Linked DNA regions of Oryctolagus cuniculus. The protein of the gene in region 1 purifies or fractionates together with the protein of each later gene. This does not show direct contact. Links are inferred from orthologs where the notes say so. Each region holds a gene or a part of one and is shown in the gene's direction. Other genes may lie near its edges.

What was found.
Region 2: the proteins of MTCL1 (region 1) and MARK2 purify together in Homo sapiens (affinity purification with mass spectrometry; 5 studies listed by BioGRID and IntAct, with this or other methods). This does not show direct contact. The link is inferred for Oryctolagus cuniculus from reciprocal best matches to the Homo sapiens genes MTCL1 and MARK2.

What each region holds. Positions count from the first base shown.
Region 1 is NC_091441.1:65,912,843-65,919,714, forward strand, and holds part of MTCL1 (microtubule cross-linking factor 1), read left to right. Parts: intron 1-2,760; coding exon 2,761-4,074; intron 4,075-5,149; coding exon 5,150-5,305; intron 5,306-6,872. UniProt on the Homo sapiens protein: Microtubule-associated factor involved in the late phase of epithelial polarization and microtubule dynamics regulation.
Region 2 is NC_091432.1:7,359,738-7,367,391, reverse strand, and holds the start of MARK2 (serine/threonine-protein kinase MARK2), read left to right. Parts: upstream 1-2,984; 5' UTR 2,985-3,556; coding exon 3,557-3,610; intron 3,611-7,654. UniProt on the Homo sapiens protein: Serine/threonine-protein kinase. Involved in cell polarity and microtubule dynamics regulation. Phosphorylates CRTC2/TORC2, DCX, HDAC7, KIF13B, MAP2, MAP4 and RAB11FIP2. Phosphorylates the microtubule-associated protein MAPT/TAU.

The sequences.
Region 1 (6,872 bases):
TGCCTGCCCCTCAGTCTGGCCCCAGCTTGTGGTGGGCAGAGGGTGGGGCCGTTGCCTGGTGCTGGGCCACATTCTCCTCCGGGATCTCTGAGCCAGGGGCTGCTATGCCTCAGAGGGGCTGGGACGGCTATGGGTGGTGCACAGACACCGACCGTCAGTGCATGTGTGGCCAGCGTATCCCCTGCCTCCCAAGTGAGTTCCTCTGCACAGAAGGTGAAGTCTGTCAGCATCGATAGGTTTCACAGATTCATCCAAACTCCACTCCTTCATGCAAGCAACCAATTCCTAGCTGTGGATTTGGGCTTACTGGGAATCTTTGTTAAACCAAAAATTGAAAAGGTGCTTTGGATTGTTCTACTTTTGCAAGTTCTAAGGAGCTGAGGTTCTTTAAAGGTAGCAAGCATGCCAGGGGTGGGCGTTCAGCCTAGCAGTTGAGATGCCTGCATCCCACATCACTGTGAGCTCTGGCTCCTGGTTCCAGCTTCCAGCCGATAGGCACCCTGGGAGGCAATGGTGATGGTTCAAGTGGTTAGGTCCTTGCACTCAGCTCCCAGCCCCAGCCCCAGGCTCTGGCCACTGCGGGCATTCAGGGAGTGCTCTCTTGTTCTCTCTCTCTCTACCTCTCAAATAAATATAAAAAAGTGAAAGCATAAAACAAAAATAGAAGAAGCATGGCACTTTCTAGTGGATAGATATTCAATAAGTGTTTACTGAAAGAATGAGTGAAAAAATAAGCATGCATTTCCTTTAGTATTAGGATTAAACACAACATCTGTCTTTTACAGCTCATACATAGTTCTTTTTTGTTGTTTAAAAAAAAAAAGTGTGATTACTCCAGTGGCATTGATGACCCATTCTTGTTGTGTGGTTGTGAGGGGGGGGAGAACCTTCCTCTGGCCACTCACAGAAATCCCGTAACTGTGTCTCCCTCACCAAAAAAGAAACCAAATCATTGATGTGATAAATCCTCAGAACTCGAAGACCGTGTGGCATTTACATGTTACTCCCCTAATAGGCAAAGGAAGGGAAAAGCAGAGTTGCTGGCTCATTTCTGCCAATATTCATTGTGTTCTGGACCAAGAAGGAATCCAGCTTCGGAGTACTGGGGTGTGGTGGTTTACTGTTTACACACCGCCTTGCAGTGCGTTATTGCATTTAACCTTCACAATGACCTCTTGCCTGAACAAGGGTCTTCAGACATAAGGAGACAGATTCTAGGGCTCTTGTGCCTTGCTGCAGGCAAAGCTAGGACGCCAGGCTGCCTGTTTGATACCACGCCCAGCAGGACCAGTTTAATCAGACTCCACCTGGAGGATGGTGGCGGGAGCTTCATGGTGCAGAGGGTGCACACAGAGTGCCAGGGCGTGCTTCCTGCATGGTACCTGGCACGCTTGGTTGTGGGTTTTCCCCGAGTCTTTCTGGTCTCATCATTCTTCCCCCTTCCCTGGCTTTGTGGAGAGGAAGGGGTCCAGGTGAGCGGGAAGGAGGGAATTGGGGAAGTAGCGAGGGAGGTTTTCGTCTAACCTCCAGGCAGAGGGTGAACCGTGCATGTTTGCCTGCTGTGGCAGCTTCATTGGCTCTACCAGACCATTGGAGCTTCACCTGTGTGAAGGAGGCCGCGCTCTCCAAGAGGGCTGGCCACCTGCAGGGCCCTTCCGTCCCTGGGGCTCCCACCGAGCTGTCGGGCCACAGCGCTTTTGCCATGGAGGAAGAAGCCTCGGCTGATGTCCTGGTCCCAGGCATCAGCCTTTCGAAACCTGATAGCCAGTCGAGGAGGAACCACTGGTGAAACCGGTCTTTTCCCTCTTGCTGAGTGTGGATGGTAGAGCATCATTGGAAGGACCAGCACAGAGAGTTTGTGCCTCGTAAAAGCATGGAGACCCACGCTGGCACAGCAGAGTGCCTTCCGGACCTCAGCCGAGCGGCGTGGGCCCTTGGCCGTGGCACCTGCTTCACAGGGTCTGAAACACCAGGTGCTCTCCGGCAGCTCGCCCTTGCCTTGGAGCTCTGAGTCTGCCTCCCGCTGCGTGACTGCAGCAACGGGGAAAGGAGAAAAGTGCGGGTTCTGCCTGGAGCCACCCTGCCTGAGAGAGGGTGGGAGCCCAGGGCGGCGGTGTCCCGTACGTCCGGAGCGTCGGCACTTGGTTCTGACTGCAGCTTCGCACCCGTCACTCATGTATTTGTCCTCATGTCAGTGCTTGATGCCGTGGGGAAGGGGAGAGGTGAACCTGGGCAAATCAGTCGAAAGCCAGGCTCTGGTTTGGGGTCACCTGACGTCTCCGGCGTGAGAGTGCCTGGTGGTTGGGTGAGGGCTCTGCCCTGGCAGGAAGTGAGTGGCCCCAGGCGGAGCCCTGCTTGCCACACCAGGCGTCGGGAAGCATTCTGGCATCGCTGTGACGGGTGCTAGCGATGAACCAGACACGATCCACAAAGTAACGTGGGCTCACCACGTCACCCATAGGTACCATTTTCACCCTCATTGTCCGTAACCTAGATGACAGCTTCAATGTGCATGTTTTGTTCCAAACTGATTTTTCGCTCTCCTTTGTTTCTGTGATACAACAACGCACTGTAGGCCGTTGCCCGGTCCCTTCCGGGGAGCCCCTGGGCGCAGCCCTGCTTGGTTGAGGCCACCTTTTCCGCACAGCTCTCGGCACTGTTGGGAGGACCTGTGGGGGCAGTGAGGGAGTAGGGGGAGTTGTTGCAGGAGCACCTGGTACTTCCGGTAACCTCCTCCCGGGCTGTTCTCTCTCCTGGCAGGACGACAGCGCCGACCTGAAATGCCAGCTCCAGTTTGCCAAAGAGGAAGCCTCCCTGATGCGCAAAAAGATGGCCAAGCTGGGGCGGGAGAAGGACGAGGCGGAGCAGGAGCTGCAGAAGTACAAGGCCCTGTACGGCGACGTGGACAGCCCCCTCCCCACAGGGGAGGCCGGTGGGCCCCCCAGCACCAGGGAGGCCGAGCTGAAGCTGCGGCTGAAGCTGGTGGAGGAAGAAGCCAACATCTTGGGCCGGAAGATCGTGGAGCTGGAGGTGGAGAACCGAGGCCTCAAGGCGGAGATGGAGGACATGCGGGTGCAGCAGGAGCGGGAGGGAGCGGGCCGGGACCACGTGCCAGCCATTCCTATCTCACCCTTTGGCGACTCCCTGGAGTCGTCCACGGAGCTTCGCCGGCACCTGCAGTTTGTAGAGGAGGAAGCGGAGCTGCTGCGCAGGTCCATCTCCGAGATTGAAGACCACAACCGGCAGTTGACCCACGAGCTGAGCAAGTTCAAGTTTGAGCCTCCCCAGGAGCCAGGGTGGCTAGGGGACAGCGCAGGCAAGGGTCCCGGAGGCGGGGCCCCTCTGCAGGAAGAGCTCAAGTCGGCCAGGCTGCAGATCAATGAGCTGAGCGGGAAGGTGCTGAAGCTGCAGTATGAGAACCGGGTGCTGCTGTCCAATGTCCAGCGCTGCGACCTCGCAGCCCACCTGGGGCTGCGTGCCCCGAGCCCTCGCGACAGCGATGCCGAGAGCGACCTGGGCAAGAAGGAGAGCGATGGGGAGGAAGCCCGCCTGTCCCAGCCCAAGCGGGAAGGGCCCGTGGGTGGGGAGAGCGACTCGGAGGAGACGTTCGAGAAGTCATCGGGCTTCGGGAGTGGAAAGCCCTCGGAGGTGAGCGAGCCATGTCCGGCGGAGCTCCTGCGGGCCCGCGAGGACTCCGAGTGCCTGGTGATCATAAAGCAGGAGGCACAGCGGCTCGAGCGGACCGTGGAGCGCCTCATCACAGACACCGATGGCTTCCTGCACGACGCAGGGCTGCCGGGTGGCGGCGGCACAGCCTCCCCCTGGGGGCCTGGGGGTCAGGACGAGGGTGAGGGGGGCAAGAAGGAGTCCCACCTGCTGGGCGCCATCAATGCCAGGATGAAGGCTTTCAGGAAGGAGCTGCAAGCCTTCCTGGAGCAGGTGACTCGGATTGGGGATGGCCTGTCCCCCTCGTCCCACCTCACTGAGTCGTCCAGCTTCCTCTCGACCGTGACCTCCGTGTCCCGGGACTCCCCCATCGGGAACCTGGGCAAGGAGCTGGGCCCAGACTTGCAGGTAAGGGGGCTCCTGGCCTCGCCTCCCTGCCGTGCCTTGCCCTTCCTCCTTCTCGCTGGCATTGCTGCACTTCTTGGGCTTGCGGTGCTCACGGCTGCTTGGTTGTGATTTCAAAGCTGCATTGCACTAAAGCCTCCGGCGTCCGCCCCCAACCCAGTCTCTGGGTTAGGGTTCCTTTTTTGTTTTTTTGTTTTTTTTTTTTAAGTTCCCTTTCTCGTTTCCTCGTTTTCTTTTTCCTTTTTCTCCTCTTATTTTTAACTGCACCCCTGCTTGGGGTCTAGAGGCCCCGGCCCCCGGGAACCAAGGCCGAGCCGAGTCAGGGGCTCGGCGCAGTCCGTCCTCGCTTCTTGCTTGGTGTCTCACACAACCAGCCGTCCCGGTGAAGAAGCCACGAGGAGTCTCAGCCGAGGTGCCAGCTCCTGTCACAGTCAGGATAAGTGGCAGACTCACTCATGAGCGCGCCAATCCCTCCTTGGGTCGTTACCAAAGGGACACAGTGCAGCTCGGACAGCCCCTAGGCAGCCAGGCCCACCCGCTCCCTCACTGGAAGATAAGCCGGGCTGGGGAGAGGCGCACGGTCCCCCGAGAAGGCTGTTTTTGATGGAAAGTCGCCGAGGTGGGGGCTGAGCGGAGTGGCCTCCGAGGACTGCTCTCCTGTGCCTCACCCTGGGGTGCATGACCCGGCTGCCGGCCCTGGATTGTGGCCTTTGCTGCTCGACCCACAAGTAAGGAAGGAAGAGCCTTGTGTCGTGTATCCTTCACGGGTGGTGTGCTCGCGGTGGACTTGGGACTCACGCATCGCCATTGCATGCGCCCCCTGCCCCTTCTCTGGCTCTGCAGATGCCGCGGCCTCTCCTCTCGCTCATCCTCATTCTGCGCCTGTGCGCTCTGCGCAAGCGTCCGCCGCTCTCTGAAGTTGGTTTCTCTTGTCCCGTGCTTCCCTCGGCCTGGCAGTCCTGCCCCTCGTCTGCCTTGACTCCTCTCGGTGTCTTTATCCTCCCTCCCCACCCGACTCTCTCATCCTTTGTATTTCGTTTAAAAACAAACAAACGAATCCCTCCCGTGCACCTAACAGTCCAAGCTGAGGGACCAGCTGGAGTGGCCGTTCAGCCAGGACCGAGGGGACGAGCGCGAGAGTCCGCGCCCGCGAGCCACCCGGGAGCTGCACCGGCACGCCGACGGCGACGCTGGGAGCCACAGGCCGGGAGGCCAGAGCTGCTTCAATCTCGAGGTCAGCGCCCAGACCCAGCCGTGGCCCTCATGCCCCTCCTTTTGCATGTGGCTGCCTGTGTGACTCGTCCTGCCTGGGCCAGGGCTCTCAGCGAGCGTGGCAGGAGGATGTGCCCTCAGCGGCCTCTTGTCCCTAAGCAGAGAGAAGGGCTGAGCCCAAGCAGGAGCTCCCCTAGTCCAGGGGAGACGCTCCTGTTGGGTCTTCATTGCCTCTGTCCTGTGTGCCTGTCCCATGGGCTTGGAGCCCCTGTTGCAGCAGGCTGGCAGAATCAGATAGGTCCTCTCGCTCCTGCCTTGGGAACCCTGGGAGCCTGCACAGGCTCGGTTGCCATGGTAACCCATGGACACCCAGTGACAGGTGCCTCTCAGTGGTCCTGTAAGACGGCAGCTCAGGGATACAGGTCACCCCATGCAGGAAGGAAAGACAGGTGCTCCCCAAGGACTGAACCGCCGGCGCAGGTCCCCTCCTGGCTGTTAGGCTGCTGGCTGGGCTGGAGTCACGTGAACTGGGTCGGGGAAGAGCTGTACCCCTCAATCCCCCAGGGGATGTTTCCACTGAACTCTGAGGCATGGGAACAGCAGGGGCCAGGAGACAAGACTTCCGGGCTTGTAACCCGGAAGTGAGCGACAGCTTTGTTCAGCAGAACATAGGGTGGGGTGATGAGGAAGTGAAGCTGACAAAGGCATGCAGGTAGGCAGTGCCCGAGCCTTTGGCTCCACACAGCGAGGCTGAAGGTCCCCTCACTGGAAAGGGGTGTGGCAGGGCTGTTGCCTCACCCAGCCAAGTCCCAGGTTGCGCTAATTTGCAGCTGTGTCCCTTAGCCCTGGAGGAGGGAGCGTGTCATGTACAAATGTAGAAACCGCCTCCAGCCAGCTGCACTAAAAACAGAAAAGGTTTCCAGAACCCCCTGCACAGTCCTGCTGTCCTCACGTTACCTAGGGAGGCCAGGCCCACCTGCGCAAGCGGCAGCCCAGCACACGCTCCGAGGGAAGGCAATGTGGGCCGTGCGGAGGGGTGACAGGGAGGTGATCCACATGCCACAGGGCGACACCCATGCTGGTGCCAGGCCCCCAGAAACCAGCAGAACCCGGTGTGCTGGGTGGGCGGGGCAGGGAGCGGCAGGGGGACCCCGGCCCTCCCAGTGAGAGTGCCCACAGCAAGCTTTTGTCATTTTTCTGAACGCTGGCTTTGGACGTGGAGCCAGACAACTATCACAGTGTCATGTCAGCTTCTGTGTGCTCTCGTTCCTTCACTGTGACAAAGCTGTTCCCTGGGTTTGTACCAAAAGTGAAACTGGGCAGCTCCCATTCTCCCCGGGGACGCTTACCTAATGGCTTCATGGGGCTCTTACCACATGTGCTTGGTCAGCCTGTGCCGCACACACGCAGGGTCTTCCTCTGAGAACGCTGGCTGCTTGGGCTGCTGCAAACCTGCAGCCACGTGCACTCACAGCTCGAGTGAGCATTGCCTGGGGTTTCCCAGCCTTGGGTCACACTGCAGCACTCAGCTGTTCCTAGCAGGGACGCGCTGCAGCACTGGAACCCGTCCTGGCATGGACTTTGGTCCA
Region 2 (7,654 bases), on another chromosome or scaffold:
AGATCGCCACAGCTCTGGCTGTTGAGGCCAATTGGAGAGTGAATCAGCAGATGGAAGATCTCTCTCTCTCGCTCGCTCTCTCTCTCTCTCTCTGCCTCTCCTCTGTGTAACTTTCAAATAAATAAGTAAATCTTAAAAACAAAAACAAAAACAGGGCCCTCTTGGTAAAGAAGAAACTTCAAGGCGGTGACGGCAGAGCCTTAAACTGAACGGAGGCCCTTCTTGGCGCAGGACTCTGCCCATGCAGGTCACAGGCCCAAGAGGGCAGCCTCGCCTGTGGCCCACAGGGGAGCAGCCGTGGCCTTCTAGCAGGGCGTGGGTGTAACTGGAGGTGGACCTCAGGAAGGTTATTCGGGCGGGATGGGTTGGAGGGAGTCTGGGCAGGGAGACTGGTTAGGCAGCTTTGTGCAGAGCTGGTGAGGACGAGGCGGGTGGGAGCCGAAGAGCAGAAGACCCAGGGAGAGAGGAGTAGGGAGCACACGGGAGGAAGAGTTTACTACAGGACAGCACAGGCCAGGGGAGGCTCTGAACGCCCCCCTCCTTTGCTCTCCAATCCCCTCCCCTGCCTTTCCAGTCTTAAGAGACTGGCAGGCCCAGGAAGCAGCACTGTGTCTCCCTTTGGCCACCAGAGGGCAGATGGTTCTCGTAGATTTTTTGGGGGCTGAATTTGGGGCAGGGGGAAGTGGCATGCCTGGTGGGTCCTCTTCCTCTTTTCCTCCTCAGGTGCGCGTTCACCAACGTCTTTCTCAGTGGTTTGGGGCCTGAATGGAGCCGGGCTGTGCCCTGCAAAGATGCCTGGAGTCCTGGCAGCATCCTAAGACTGCAGGTGGCACCTGTGGCCTTAGGGAGACTTCCACAGGCCTCTCTGCTTCTCTGATTGGCACCACCAGCTGCGAGCTGGAAGTCAAGGGCCAGAGGTCCAGGCAGCACTTTGCCCATAACCGCTGGGACCTCTTGCCTAAGCCTGATCTCGCTCCTAGGGGGCCTCTGGCTGCTGCCCACTTTGAGCCGCCGTTGAGCCCTGGGGCAGGAGAGAGGCAAATTCCAACACGTCCCGGGTGCCATGAGTGGGGACGGCTTGGAGCTGGAGAGATGAGCCCGGGCTGCTGCATCTCCTGGGTGAGACAGTCGAGGAGGAAGTAAAAGTGCACGGAGGTTACTACACGGACTTCCTGTTTGAGTCAGGGGCTCGTGAATCCAGCGACCCCACTCTACGGATGGGGAGACTGAGGCCCACAGGAAGGAAGAAAAGCTACTTCTGTACAGGCCTGTTCTCTGTGTCACTCATCCGGGAGAACTGTCATTTTCAGCGGGGTCCTCTCCCTTTCCCCCCAGTTTCTTTGTCTTAGATACAGTGACGTGGGAATGAAGGGAAGGCCTGGGGCACGCGTTTAGGCTAGCATGGAAGATGCCAGCCGTGACACCTGGGTTCCGTATCGGAGTGGGCATCGGGGTCCAGTGCCCAGGTCCTGCTCCTAACTCCAGCTTCCTGCTAATGTAGACCTGGGGAGGCAGCCGCCATGGCTCAGGTACCGGGGTCTCCTCCACCCACGCCACCCACATCGGAGATCTGGATGGAGTTCCCAACTCCCAGCTTCAGCCTGACTGGGCCGTTGTAGACTATGGGCAAGTAAGTCTTAGTGGATGAAGGCCCTTCCCAACTCCTACACCTAGCCGCTCAAATAAGTGAATAAAAGCTCATGGAAAATGCACACTTTTTAAAAAATATTTCATTATTTATTTGAAAGGGAGAGTTACAGAGAGAGAGAGAAAGAGAGATTGATCTTCCATCTGCTGGTTCCCTCCCCAGATGTTTGCAACTGCCAGGGCTGGGCCAGGGCCGAAGCCAGGAGTCCAGAGCTGCTTCTGGGTCTCCCACGTGGGAATGCATGCTATGTTTATTTTTTAAAATTTCATTTTATTTCAAAGGCAGAGAGACGGAGGAGAATCCCTACAACAGCCAGGGCTAGGCCAGTCAGAAGCCTGGAGTCCGGAACTCAATCCTGGGGTCTCCCATGTGGGTGGCAGGGACACAGGTGTTTGAGCCATCACTTGCTGCCTCCCAGGGTGTGGATGAGGAGGAAGCTGGATTGGAAGCAGAGTAGCGGGGGCTTGAGCCCGGCCAGTCAGGGACGGGATGCGGGCGTCCCACGTCGACCTTACCGCTAGAAAAGGTGCATTGTTTTTTAAAAGAAAAAAAGATGAGACGATCTCTCCTGCCTTACCTGGCAGGGGCACTTAAAGTCATCTCTGGGATAAATCCGTTCGGTGGAGGGGACAGGAGCCTAAGCTCAGAGATGGCAGGTGGGTTTCCCAGGATCGCAGAGCTGGGGCTGCAAGGCAGGCCCTGGGCGTTCCCGCAGCGGAGTGTGTCGGACGCTGACCTGGTCCCTTGCCGACCTGCGGACCAGGTGCGGCCATTCACAGACAGGAGAGCCCGTGGCAGGTGGTGGGCGGGAGGCAGGTAGGTAATAGACTGACGTTGCGTTTGTCAGGTGACACATGTTGACGGCCTGTGGTGCGGGATAAACAGAAGATGGATTTTATGAGATAACCGACAGGGGGACGAACAGACACGCAGCAGGAAGCTGCTCCAGGTCCAAAGTACACCGGCCACAGGGATGGATGGCTAACAGCCTCGTCCTCTTTTTAGTCAAATAACAACACGCACGGGGACCCACGCGTCCCGTCCAAGGTTTGAAAATACCCGAAAACTGACGGAAAGAAACGAAGAGCCAGGCTCTGGGAACCCCGGGGGGGAAATGACCGCGGACTCGGCGGGCTTCGGGTGTTGCCGGAAATGGCCGACTGCCGCCCTCGGCCGCTCAGCAGGACGGGGGCGTGGCCGGCTCCGCACGCGGAGCCTCTTCGGGTGTTTCCGGAAACTGCCGAAAGCCGGCTTGACGTGGGCGGGGAAAGGGCGGTGGGCGTGGCTTGGGCGGCTCAGGAGGGCCCGGAGCCGCTTCGTAGATTTCCGTAAACAGAGCCGAAGCTCGGTCTTCGGAATCGAGGAGGTGCGCGCGTCTCCGGGGATTACCTTCTTCGGCTGTTTCCGGAATTGACCCGTAGACCCCGGCCGAGAGGAGAAGGCGCGCCCCCCTCCCGTTCCTAAGCGCTTCGGATGTTTCCGGCTGCCGCCGGCGGAAAGAGCCGAGGGCCGGCGGTGGTGGCGGCCATGTTGGGAGCAGCAGGTCCGGCGGCGGCTGCCTGTGTGCCGGGCGCGGAGCAGTGCCGCTGAGGGCAGGGGAGGAGCGAGGCAGGCGGCCGGCTGCGGCGGCAGAGAGTAGGCGGAGCGGCGCAGCCCGGCCGAAAGGCGGCACAGCCCAGCCGGGGGTCGGGGGGGTGCGGTCCGGAGCCGCTCGGAGCCGGCGCGGCCTAGCCCGAGCGGCGCATCCCCGGGCTGGCGTGAGCGGCTGCCCGGCCTCCCCGCACCCCCGGCCGGGGCCCATGCGGCGGGCGCTCCTGCTGTGAGAAGCCCCGCCCGGCCGGGCTCCGCGCCTTCCCTTCCCTCCCTTACTCCGAGCTTCTCGGTTCCCTCCCCTGAGATACCGGCGCCATGTCCAGCGCCCGGACCCCCCTACCCACGCTGAACGAGAGGGACACGGAGCAGGTAAGGAGCCCCGAGGGCTCCCCGGATTCTCTGGCTGGGCCCCTGCACCTTGCGGAGCCTCCTCCCTCCTCTGCTCTCCTCGTGCCCCGGCTGCCCTGTCATCCGGCCCTGCACATCCCCCTTCCGAGTCCTGACCCGGGACCCACCTTGAACTGACTCCAGGCTGCACACTTGTCGCCCTGCCAACCCCCCTCCGCCCCTCGCCGCCCTCCTGCGCTCTTCCGTGTTAACCTCCTCAGCTTCCCCTCTCTTCCCTTTTTCTCTCTGGGCCCTCTCTGGTCTTCTTCCACCCACGCTTCGAGCAGCACCCCGCGCCTGGCCACAGATCGTCGGCCACCTCTCCCTCCGCCCGCGCCGGCTCTCCCGGTCCCTGCTGACGACCCGCAGGGTCCTCGCCCGGGAGGGTGTTCGCCGCGAGCCCTGTCCGCTTGCGGCTGCCCAGCTGTGTCCGCCCCGCTTCGTCCTCAGCCCCGCGTGCTCGCTGTTGCCCGCAGCCCACCAGCTCCACCCTCATCCCCTTTCCGGATCGCTCGCCTACTCTTTGCTCATCACTTTCCCGTCTTTTCCCCGGGAGCTCCCCGGCTCCTGGCGCTGCCCGTGTCGCTTCCGTGTTTCCCAGCTGTCATGCGCGCAGTTTGCCCACAGGTTGCTCTGGGGTTCCTGTCCTCCCTGCCTTCGGAGCCCTGGGGGCCCCTCGTGCTCTCCTCCCCCAGGGTTCGGTTCCCAAGCCCCTGCGCCTCCTGCTCGGCGCCCTGCGTGCCCCGCCGGCCTTTGCCCTGGCCGCGGCCCGCACCCCGCGGGACGGTCGCTCGCTGTTTCCGCCCTGTGTATTCACACAACCTGTTGCTCACTTCTCTCCCGGGCCTCTGCGGCGCGCACCCGGACGCTCGGTGCCTGTCACTCCCTGCTCACTGCCTTGCTGCCCCCTTGGCTTCGCCTCGCCTCCTCTCCGTGCCTCCCCGCGGGGTTTGCTCCTCTCCTGCCGTCTTCAGGTCCTGCGGACAGCCCCCGCCCCCGTGTGCTGCTGTGCCGTCCCTGCTCCCTTCCCGTTGCTCTGTAATTCCCAGCAAGTGCTTGCCCTATGCCGCAGCCTCCCGACCCTACAAGCTGCCCCCATCCTGGCCGCACTCCCGTGGGGCGTCAGCCAAGCCGTGGCCTGTGCTGTGTGCTCTCACTGGCTGTCCCCTCCCTGGCTGCTGGGACCCTTGCTGAGGGCCCTGCCGGGGGACGCCCTGCCTTACCTCTCAGAGAACTTTCCTGGGCCCAGACAGCAGGGCCTGGCAAAGGCGCCCTCCTGCCCGGGGGCTGCACTGCGTTGGATCCTCCGCCCTCCCTCCTCTGCGCCCCTCCTGTCCCCTTTCCTTCGTGGTCGCTGGGGTAGAGCTGTTGCAGTGTTTTCATTCTCTCTGGTTGACCTGCTCCGACAGACCCTCCCCCGTGTCCTTTACTCCGTGTGGCTGTTCTGTGAGCCTCTGCTGCCTGTCACCTGCACAGTTAGGAACCCGGCAGTTCTGGACGGAGTTTTTCTCGGTGGCGGCTGGCCCTTTTCTTGTGCACGGGTTGTTTGTTTCTGGGGTGCAGGGGCATTGAGAGGGAGGGATGGGCCTGACAGCTGACTCCGTGTGGGGCAGAGTCTGGAAACGGGGAGCTTGGTCTGTGGCCCGCAGTGGTCCTTGCCCTCGCTTGCCAGCTGTTTCTCCGTTCGGGGAGCCACTCTCTGCCCTCTTGAGGCTGCTTGTTCCGTCCTTTTTTCTCTCGCAGCCTTGGTGTTGGCAGGTGGGCCCTGCTTAGCTGGATAACTTTCCGAGACTGTTGATTGGGAGCTGGAAGGAGGGGCTGAGGGCCTAACCGGCACCCCAGGCGTCTGTGGAGTGGCGCGGAGTGCCTCCTGCCCGGGAGGCCGTGGGACCTTGTGCGCACCGGCGTGGAGTCCCGGGCGGCCTCCGTGTGGTTTCTTTGTGCTGTTTACCAAATGTGGGTGTGCTGTCGCCGTGGCCTTGTGAGGTGCGCGTTGACTTCCTCTCATCCTGACACGCCGGGCTCAGGACAGCCGTGCCTGGGAACCATTTTGGAATGTGAGCTGCTCTGAATAACTGTCCGGAGCAGGGGCTGTGTGTGCTGTGGCTCTGCTCTCAAGTCTGGATTACTCATCCCCGTTTTACTCTCCTGGACTCGGGTTCCCCTGAGCCACTTGCGCGTAGTTCTCAGGGTGCCGGTCGCACACAGGGAAGCAGAGTCTTTGCAGAACCTTGGGTGACGCCTGTTCCAGGCAGGTGCTGTGCTCTTGAGAACAAGCAGAAAGACGAGCAGCAGCAGTGCTTCTGATCGCAAGGCCTTCCCCTAGAACAGATCATGCCGCCAAGTAAGGCAAGAGATCTCTTCTCGGTCCTGTGGACATTTCAGCTGAAGTGGCCGTGGAAGTGCAGCCTTTGAGTGGCCTCAGTGTTAGGAAACGGAAAGCAAGGCACTTGGTTGGACTGATTCCCTTGCCTGAAGGGTCCTGTGTCACCTTATTTAGAGTTAAATTATTTAAACTGTGGTTTCCCCAGAAAATCAGTAAATAAACTCCAGTGGTTGCCTCCAATCTCTTTTCTTGCTCTTCCTCTCGCACTTTCTTTAGAACTGTGGCTGATGAGAAGCTGATTCTGGGAGCCCTTTGATCACATCTGACGCACACACACACAGTGTTCAAGCATAGAAATCAGCCTTGTGTGGCAGGGGAGCTGCCAGCTCTGCTCCTGCAGTGAGAGTCGGAGATAAAACACAGGCAGGCCCTTTCCGTAGATGCTTGTGGCACTTGTTCTAGATGTGCTTTTCACAACGCAGACGTCTTCCTGTGGCAGAGCGAGGGTCTGGCCTGGGGCTGGTAGTTTTGGGGACTCTTGGTCTGCTAGTGGAGCTTTCTGTTCCCTTCTTTTCCAAGTGGCTTCGGCAGCCTGGCCTGGAGGCTTGGCAGTCCTGAAAGCAATCAGCAAGATGACTGTTTGTCTCCCCGCCAGCAGCGGTCCCCAGCAAGAGTGCAGAAGGGTCCAGCTTCCAGAGTTCACTTGCTGCTGGTAGAGCTTTCTGTAGCCCCAGGGGGAGGGGCTGCATGGCTTCAGAAACCATGAGAGAGGGCTGTGACTGCCCACGGAGGGGCTGCTGTCGCTTTTCTAGGGAGCAAATGGCATAAGGAGCTTGGGAGTGACAGTCACGGGAGCAAATCCAAGTCCCAGGGTCCTGTGAGGAAGAGCCACGCCGAGTGCGTGAGCTCGTCAGACCCTGCCATTGGTTCCGGCCAGATGTCGCACTGAGTGCTCGGTTGTTGGTGTCCTCCAAGGAAATGGGCTTAGGTAGCCCTGCGAGCCGTGCGGCACTGCCAGTGCTCTGGGCGCTGGCTCTCACTCGGACCTTTGGCCTGCCTGGGGCCCTTTGGTAGTGCTGCCTTCTGGTCAGGGATGTGGGTGAATGTGTCAAGCCATGAAGTCTCGCTCGGTCCTCGAGATTAGGGAAGGGGTATTGTTAAAGCAAGGGCTGGAGGAGTCCCGGTAGTCCTAACCTTTGAACCCGCAAAAGTAACCAGACCTAGTAAATTATAATAATTTCTCCCCTATCTGTGGACTTTGGGAAGGAGCTAAACAGAGAGAAGGCAGTCATTGAAACTTAGTGTGCTTCAGATTAAAATCAGATTTGTACAGGGATAACTGAATCTTCTAGACTGTGACTAAAGGTTGGACCAGAGCCTTTTTTTCTTTTTCTAAGCATAAACATCTTAAGCAGAGTTGATGCCTGTGAGGTAGACAAAGGCCGAGGATTTGTGTGCTTGAGAGGTTTGCATGGTTAGCTGTCTTGAGAATCAGAACTTCTCAGACGAAAGAGTTTCCCCTTTGGACAGAACAGCCCGATTCTCAGTGGGCGTCTAACCAGGATTGCCTGGGCCTCGTGAACTCTCACTGAGCACTTAGCCACCTGGCTGGCATCTCTCTTCTCTCTGAAGCTCCCATGACATTCCTACGTATGTATTAGGTCGACTTGAATGAATATTTTATGCCTAGAGTGCAGCCA